Linked DNA regions of Daphnia pulex. The protein of the gene in region 2 purifies or fractionates together with the protein of the main gene of each other region. This does not show direct contact. Links are inferred from orthologs where the notes say so. Each region holds a gene or a part of one and is shown on either strand. Other genes may lie near its edges.

The links.
Region 1: the proteins of tubby-related protein 4-like (region 2) and RING-box protein 2-like purify together in Homo sapiens (co-immunoprecipitation; 3 studies listed by BioGRID and IntAct, with this or other methods). This does not show direct contact. The link is inferred for Daphnia pulex from reciprocal best matches to the Homo sapiens genes TULP4 and RNF7.

What each region holds. Positions count from the first base shown.
Region 1 is NC_060024.1:9,938,653-9,942,972, forward strand, and holds the start of RING-box protein 2-like, read right to left. Parts: upstream 2,918-4,320; 5' UTR 2,805-2,917; intron 2,640-2,804; 5' UTR 2,617-2,639; coding exon 2,448-2,616; exon of another isoform or gene 1,921-2,447; coding exon of another isoform or gene 1,642-1,920; intron 1,570-1,641; coding exon of another isoform or gene 740-1,569; intron 681-739; coding exon of another isoform or gene 557-680; intron 492-556; coding exon of another isoform or gene 1-491. Other genes in the region: facilitated trehalose transporter Tret1-2 homolog, read left to right, coding at 1-491, 557-680, 740-1,569, 1,642-1,920; tyrosine-protein kinase Shark-like, read left to right, coding at 3,077-3,188, 3,267-3,404, 3,470-3,634, 3,712-3,899, 3,983-4,226, 4,287-4,320. UniProt on the Homo sapiens protein: Catalytic component of multiple cullin-5-RING E3 ubiquitin-protein ligase complexes (ECS complexes), which mediate the ubiquitination and subsequent proteasomal degradation of target proteins.
Region 2 is NC_060028.1:910,344-914,863, forward strand, and holds the start of tubby-related protein 4-like, read right to left. Parts: upstream 2,824-4,520; 5' UTR 2,262-2,823; coding exon 2,163-2,261; intron 1,419-2,162; coding exon 1,173-1,418; intron 1,047-1,172; coding exon 918-1,046; intron 764-917; coding exon 710-763; intron 130-709; coding exon 22-129; intron 1-21. Other genes in the region: uncharacterized protein LOC124208674, read right to left, coding at 2,955-3,055, 3,133-3,304, 3,365-3,510, 3,586-3,696, 3,796-4,090; hexokinase-2-like, read left to right, coding at 4,426-4,473. UniProt on the Homo sapiens protein: May be a substrate-recognition component of a SCF-like ECS (Elongin-Cullin-SOCS-box protein) E3 ubiquitin ligase complex which mediates the ubiquitination and subsequent proteasomal degradation of target proteins.

The DNA.
Region 1 (4,320 bases), on a different chromosome or scaffold from region 2:
GGTGGATTAAAGATGACAATTCCACTGGATCCTATTCCTGTTCCAGCTGCGAAGCCACTGTCGATCAAACTTCCGTAGTTTACCAACAGCTGGCTGAAACGTTGGCTCAAGCTCGACTCAACAATTCCGATTCAAAAGACCCGTTAGCTATACCTTCCACTTCAATGGTCGTCAGCGAATCGTTGATTGCTCTGAATCCAATCATGCCAGCTGACTCGAAAGAAGAAGACAATATGGCAATGGAAAATCCCGACGAAAATAAAGACAACGATAGGCTGTCCAATGTCTCACAGATCATTACGTTCCCAGATCCTTCATTTAAAATGGAACCCGCAAGTCGCAAAAGTCGTGGAAGGCTTTTCCCTCAAGTGTTGGCTTCGCTGGCCCTGGCCATAGCAGCTTTGATCGAGGGGTACTCATCTGGCTATACTTCTCCTGCCCTAGCTTCTATGACACAACCCAACAGTTCTATTCCCGTAAACGACCAAGAGGTTAGTAACTAGACTAAAATCCCTAATACCAAACAAAAACTAACTGGAAATCATTCAATTCTTAGGCGTCATGGATCGGGAGCTTAATGCCGCTTAACGCTCTAATCGGTGGCATTGTCGGTGGAAGTATTGTCGAGCATTTTGGCCGGAAGACGACCATCATGGCTACCGGGCCACCATACATTTTGTGTAAGTAACGCAACAGTGTCATTGAATTCAAAATATTAATATTTGCTTTCTTCATCTAGCTTGGTTACTCATCACGTTTGCTACAAACCTGCCCATGGTCTACGCCGGACGTTCAATCCAGGGATTTTGCGTGGGCCTTACTACCTTGACGCTGCCCATCTACTTGGGTGAAACTATTCAACCGGAGGTCAGAGGATCGCTGGGCCTGTTGCCCACCACGATAGGCAACATAGGCATCTTGTTTTGCTACATTCTGGGCTCCTACATCGACTGGAAAGTATTGGCGGCCATCGGAGCAGCTCTTCCTCTACCCTTTTTAGCTTTCATGTGGTTCATTCCGGAAACACCACGTTGGTACATCTCTAAAGGCCGTTATACCGAAGCTCGCGAATCTCTACAGTGGCTCCGTGGGGGCAAAACTAACGTTCAAGACGAGTTTCTCGAAATTGAAAACAATTACAAGAATCAGAGCGTCGGTGGTGGAGCCAGAGAACTTTTGAAAATTGCCTACCTACGGCCCCTACTCATTTCACTCGGACTCATGTTCTTTCAGCAACTTTCTGGCATCAACGCGGTCATCTTTTACACCGTGTCTATTTTTGAAAAATCTGGCGGAAGTGTAGATAGCAACCTCTCTTCCATCATTATTGGGTTGGCTAACTTTATGGCTACACTGGGCTCAAATATGGTCATCGACCGAGTAGGCCGTAAAGTTTTACTCAACATATCCGGATTCTTTATGGCAATCAGCCTCGGCGCATTGGGAGTCTTCTTCATTCTGCAACACCTTGAACATGATCTCGAACACGTCGGTTGGCTTCCACTGACTACATTCATAGTCTACATCGTCGCCTTTTCCATCGGTTATGGACCTATCCCTTGGCTTATGGTACGTTATTAAAATGTGATGGCTGTTTGAAAAAAATTCAATCCTAACAAAATTTCTATTTGGCTAATTTAGATGGGAGAAATTTTCCCAAGCAAGGTTCGTGGTCACGCTGCATCTGTAGCTACAGCTTTCAACTGGGCTTGCAGCTTCGCAGTAACTAAATTCTTCAACGACCTGATAGCGACGATCGGCGCCCATGGAGCGTTCTGGTTTTTTGGTTTCTTCTGCTTTATCAGCATCTTTTTCGTTATCTTCTTCGTACCAGAGACCAAGGGACACAGTTTGGAGAGTATCGAGAAAAGTATGCTTGAAAAGAAACCGAAAAAAGATATCGAATCTACTAGGCTGTAAAGGCGACCAATTATTTTTCAACGTTGGACGTCTTAACAGTGCGGACAATGTTTTTGTACATAAGACTATTCCTTTCTTTAATCAAATGATGTCTTCAATTCCTCAAATCTCTGAATGATCTGTTCTGTTCTACCTTATTTCTTCCCAGGAAAGTTTAAAGATAGCCTTATAATTAGGAATAGAACAATTAGGATTCGTTATTTATAAATACGACTGTTTCTCCTAATACCCAGCAGACTACGAATCTTTTCTAATTGTTTTATCTTCCAAAATATTTATGTACATTACTACATCAGGCAGGGTACAGAACATTGTAAAATGGTAAACTTCTCATCAACCCCCATAACTACAACCTTGCCGACACCCCACCCCTTTAGTATTTAGTTGAAAATGTGAAAACCAGATAATTTCTGAATATTTTGTGAAATGTAAATATACCAGAACCACAAATAAATTTTAAACATTTTCCTTTAAAATAGTTCTTGTCTCTAACCCTTCTTAACAAACATATTGAAATTGGGACTTACCCATAACTTGAACTCTGCAAATGGCACAAATTTCACACTCAACGTCCCAGCTCCACATAGCAACTGCATTCCACCGTTTCAATGAGAACATCTTTTCAGTTTTGACTACACAGTCATTACCAACTGTGGTTTTTTCCACTGATTTCTCCATATCAATATCATCTGCCATTTTCTGCAGTAGAATAAAAAAACCTGTAAAAAAATAAACAAAAACATTTAACATGATTTTTAACATTGACTGACATATTGAAGTGAAAGCAATAGTTGCATTAAGGTTTGATTGGATATGATTGACAACTATACACAATAGAATGCAGGTACATAATCAAAAGATAAGAATGGGTAAAATAAGCTTACTTTTAGCTATATGAATTATGAACACAGAATTTTGGGCCAGTAAAAAATTGAAAACCACAGCAAAGGAGCTCTCAGAATTGTATGCTGAGATATTGTTTATGTCGTCTGCTAGCCCGCTCGGCGCTCGCTCAGCTGACTTATAATCACAAGTGCATATTCGGTTCAATTTTGGTTCAGCCACTGACAGGAAGGAACTCCCTTTGACTACTCTCTGATAAAAATAACATGAAGAAAAATTTTGACTTTTAATCTAGCTCTTTTAACCTTTATAAATGAATTTCAATACCATGTCTCGACGACCTTCAAGAGACGAAACTGACCAAGACCTAAGGTGGTTTCATGGGAAAATCAACAGGCAAGAGGCTGAAGCTCTACTTACTAATGGTCTGTTTAAAATAATATTTTTTTTTGTAGCCTATCTATTAAAATTGTGATCTTATTTTTCCATATTTATGCCTGCAGAAGATGACTCTGAAGGACTATTTTTGGTGAGAGAGAGCCCCACAGTTGATGGAGCTTTCATATTAAGTGTTCGTCACCAAGGAGAGCCCAGGCATTACCAAATAAATCGACATGGGGCTGATGCATTTTTTTCAATTGGTTTGCCATTGAAGCATTTTTTTACATTAATTTACATTCATTATAAATTTTTTGTCCCCTTGCAGAAGATGGATACATTGTTCATGGCCTTGATGCTCTCATTACTCTTTGTCAGAAAGAGGGCTCTTCTATTTTTGGACCACTTAACCGACCTTGCAAAAAAGATTTGCCACCTGTTGATACAAGGTGTCATGGAAGATGTAATCTATTGCATAGAGCTACCAAAGAAGGTGATTGCCAAGCATTTTTCATCTGTCTGAGATTCCCTTAGTATCAAGTATCAAGGTCACTACCAATTATTCAACAGGCAACCTAACTGTAGTATCAGAATTACTTCGAGGTGGCTCCTACAGGAGTATCGACGCTAAGAACGAAATTGGACAGACTGCAATCCATTTAGCTGCCTTTTTGGGGAATAATATGATTCTTAAACTTCTTATCCAAGGAGGAGGAAATGTCAATGTTAAGGATGATGCAGACCTCACTCCACTACATGTAATTAATAACAGTAGTTAAATCATTTATTAATACCCTTCCCTGTAGCTTATTTAATGATTAACCTCTCTTGAATTGTTTAGTATGCTTGTATACACAATCATCACGAATGCTTAAAGACTTTGCTGGAGTTCAAAGCTAGCCCTCAAATCCGACACCGTTTGACCGGAATGGTTCCCCTTCACGAGGCTGCTAGTCGAGGACATCTCGATTGTGTGAAAATCATGATGGCAATGTCTGTAACACCATTGTCACGCACTAAAGAAGATCAAACTCCCGCTGACTTAGCTAGAAAAAATGGTTTCTATCAATGCGCACGACGATTAGGTATGGATCACATTATTTCAAAGCTGATGGATTTCCTTAAATTGGTCTGTTTTATCACAGAGTCCTACAAACCTCCATTTCCGTTCACCAGAAA
Region 2 (4,520 bases):
TCAGAAAATAAAAAGAAAAACCTGTTGATCGTCAGGTGTCCAAGTCCCGGTGGTGATGATGGATTCCTGGTTAAGGATCGTCGACCAATAGCGCTGTCCAGCCACCGAACCAACGAGAACAAATCCGTCCTGTTATACGGGGAGGTAACCGAAACATACGACGTCCATTAATACTCAGGAGCTCAGGAGCCAACGAGAGAAAGAAAAAGAAAAAAAAAGGAACTCGACCAAAAAAAGAAGGATTGGTACACATAAAAGATATTAGTGAACGAAGAGAGAGAGAAAGTCTCTAACTCTCTCTCTCTGGGGGCTTTTGTTCGAGAAGAGACCGTGATCCAATTTGCGACGCGGCTCTTTCCTTCTCCCTCTCTCTCTTATCGATCTCTCTCCCCAACCCCCATACATGTATCCAGGAGGCTTTGACGTCATGATCAATACTTACGTAAAAAGCTTCTCTGTCAACCCATCACCCGAGCCCGGTCTATATATCTACTGCCCTTGTTAGGTCCTCAACAACAACATTGAAGTAGAAAAGGGTCGTAGTCGCGACCAAGACCTCACTCTCTTATACTACGACGGCCATCCATCGTTGACTTTTATTTATTGACAATGAACTTTATTGGTTTTACGGGTCGGGTTGGGGTGTTGGTTTTGAGCTTCTCTTTTTTATTTCTGTATTTTTTTGTTTGTTTGCGTTGTGTTTCTTTACCTGGTAAGCGATGACTGCCATGCGACCGTCGTGAGACCAGGAAAAGTGGGTCACCTACATACATCAATGTATTCACGCCGGAATAGTGAATTAATGATCGTCATTGGATAGGCGAGCGAAAATAGAAGAGAGAAACGGGAGAGATTATAAGCATTGTAGTATAAATAATGAGAAGAAGAGCCCCAGAGATATGGGCGGATGAAATTACCGGAGTGTTCCGATCGTTGATGAGCTCAATGGACCATCTGCCCTCGTAACGGATCCAGACGAAGATGATGCCGGATGCGTCGCACGTGGCCAGTTTCTGATACGGCTCGTTCCATCTCACTAAACTGATCTACATAATTCAAAACGGAGTTAAACATTTCAAGTTTAACCAAATTTTACGGATCCTTCCGGCTAGTTCCGGAATTCAATCCAATTTTTTAAAAAAGAAAAACGAATAAATCCAATTAGATGATACCTGGGCACGATGTCCACGGAGGTTGTAATTCGTGCGCGGAGGCAGTGGAAGGTGCGGAGGAGCCGGCGGAAGCGGTAGACTGCCGGATATTTCATTATCCGTCGGCGGATTGAACGAGCCGAGGCCGCTGTTGACGCGATGAGGTAGCGTGCTGGTGAACGTGACTCCGACAACGCTCCGGTTGTTACCAGCCGCTAACCAGCCCTCTTGATAGTAGCTGGTTCGGTTGAGCTTCCATCCGTGTCCCTTTTTTATATTTCCATTTCGAATCGAATTGTCAACACACACACACAAATGATCATCATCGTCATCAAGAGAGAAACCCAACACAATATCCCCCTTGATTGAGGAGTTCTTCTTGGCTATGGATGCAATCCAGTCACGCTCAACCAGACACGTTCAATCAACGTCTTAATGACGAAAATCAATAACACTATTTATACATGTCTGTCAAAAAATAGCTGCAATGGCGAGAAGAAACCCCCCACACACCAAAATAAGGATCGAGCTTTTGCACATGTTATTTTTCTATATGTACGATAAAGTCATCATCATTTTTTCCCCCTCTATAATAATAATCCTAGGCCATCCCCCCCCCCCTTCTCAAATGTCCACCCCATCTTTCAATCGACCGTCCTTGTATAGAGCCATTTATATACACACACCGAGTGTGTAGTATGTGCTGGGCTCGTGTGCGCGGTCCGTTGTATTGATCGGAACTTTGCCCTCCTCTCCTCCACATAACCCGCCAACACAGTTGAAGGGAGAGAACCTACTTTTCTCTTCTTTTTTCTTCTTATTCTCCTTCTTCCACTTGAGCGTGAAACAAAAGGCGAACGAAAAAGAAGAAATAGGAAACAAAAGTTTTTTTTTCGGATGGAAAGGGGGGAGCCTTCTTTCTTTTTGTTTTTCTCGCGCCTTCGGTTCTTCTCGTGTGAAACGAAATCAACTGGGGAACCAATTAAGAAAAGTTTGCGTGAAAAATGGTACCTCTGGCTGCTCGTCAGGGACACGTCCCATCCACGAAAGTGAATTGATGACCGAATCGCAACGCAGTTGGCTGCTGGGCTCCTCGAAATGCAGGTGCATTTTCTTTTTTTCGGCCGGGCCGGATTGACTTCACCACCTGAATGGGACACACACACACCACACACACACACACTACACGAAATACACACACCGTTCTTCTAGGACTGGACGCCGGAACACTCGAAACGGAACTGAAATCCACGCAGACCCAAAATTTTAAATTTGTCCTTTTTTGTTGTTTGTTTTTTTAATATTTTACAGTTATCGCGTCACGAAAACTGACAACATGTGCAAAGATAAGAGAAAATAATAATAATAATAAAAAAAATAAGAGGATGGGATGAGAAATGCGACGAGAGAGTTGACGGGCTACGTGGACGTGTTGACCCGTCGGCAACTCTGCGCAACTACCCGCCGACGCTGTAAACCTGTTCATTTCTGTGTGCCTTTCACGGTTGAAGAGGTGCGGGAGAGGGGGGTGGGGTGGGCAAAAGAGACAGAGGGGAAAAAGGAGAAAGGGGGAGGGATCACTCTCTCTCTCTCAAGACGTCGCCGGCGTCGTCGATTCTGCGCATCCTCGGCGCGCGCTATCAAAGTGAAAAGTCGACACACGACACGAAGCGAAAATTCCGTCGCTCTCTTCCAGCGACATCTATTAAACAACACGACAACTTGACATTCGAAATTTAAAAAAGCAAAAACGGATTATTTCATTCAGTTAAAATAAAAATTAAGGCAATTTTACTTTTGAATTTAAAAAGCTGCTTGGAAGGCCTTGAGCAGCGGAAGTTTGAAAAACGGATTGCAGTGAAGTTCGAAATCGGCCATGGTCTCGTCCGAAAAATCTTGTGTTTCTGTGTCGACACATTCGACAATGCGGAATGAATCATTAAAGTTTAGATTACAACAGGCACAACTTTGTTTGTCTTACTTTCGAATTCCAAATCGACATTGTACGGCAGGATTTCATCTGACTTGTAGTTGAGCGAGATACTAACGTTGAAATTTTTGTCAGACTCGTCCGAGGCTTTGACTTGAACCATCACTTTCAATGTATCGCAACTAGCATTGACCGATCGATCGGAATTCTTTCCAAATAATTCCTGCCAGAAAAGAGTTGATTACATGTTAATATTGGCATGCAATTTCGACTGGAAACTTGCCTCGAGCTCAACGATTTGCTGCTGCCGATTGGTGAAACAATCGACCAGCTTGGATATGTCCCAAACGAGTTTCTCCAGAGGCTTCGTGTGATCCAAATCGAGCTCGTCTATCGATTCCGGTAGATAACATTTGCCGATTTCATAACCTGCAACTCGTCACGCCAAACAGAGTTTGAAACCCCAATCGAGAAATGAAATTAGATTTTAATCGCTCGAAATACCTTTCTTGGTAAATTTCACCGTCATGGCGTACGCGTCATAATACGCGGACTTGTACATGGGATGGAAATAGAACGTGCACGAATTATCGCTCAATTTATCCACCGACACCCCTGCGTGGGAAAAACAAAAACAAAATAATGATTAATGAATTACAAATTTTCCACTTGGAATTTGTGTTACTCTTAAATACAAACAAAACAACAACAAACCGGAGAATTTGGTCGCCTCCTGAATCAATTTCCAGTTCTTCACTTGACGGTCTTCCAGGTCGTGTGTCCTTTTCATTACCGTTTTCTTTTCGCGCTCGATCTCGTCCAGCTGCCTACGCAATTCTTTTACTTCTGATTGAAGCTGCTCCACCGCCGGATTTGTTACGGCTTCTTCTTCTTCATCCTCCTCCTCTTCTTCTTCTTCTTCTGCACTTCCACTTTCGACTTCTTCCGCACTTCCACTATCGACCTCTTCCTCACTTCCACTTTCGACTTCATCCTCTACAGCTTCCATAATCTTGTTGGGTTACACACTACGTCGCGTTCACAATCTGGAAAGAGAATAGAAAAAGAATATAACGTGAAAGAATCGATTCATGAGATAAGAGATCGATTTGTGAACCAGCCGCCGGCTAGAGAGGGGGGAAAAAGGCCAACACATACGGGACACGAACATCAGTCGTGACTCAAGGCCACTATAGAGACACACGTGTGAGTTGATTGTTACCAGTTGGGTTCGCCGTCTGCGCAGTTTGCCAAGTGTCTTGTTTATATATTTCCTATCCGCGCGTGCAACGGTTTGATTCGGCGTTTGCTGCCCAGTTATTGAGAGATAAAACAAGGGAAAAGATGAGTACTCCCGCACTGCACCTAGACGATCCAGTTAAACTACAAAAGGTAAGATTAAATTTTACAAGCATCTGTCAATGAAAATCTTGACTCAA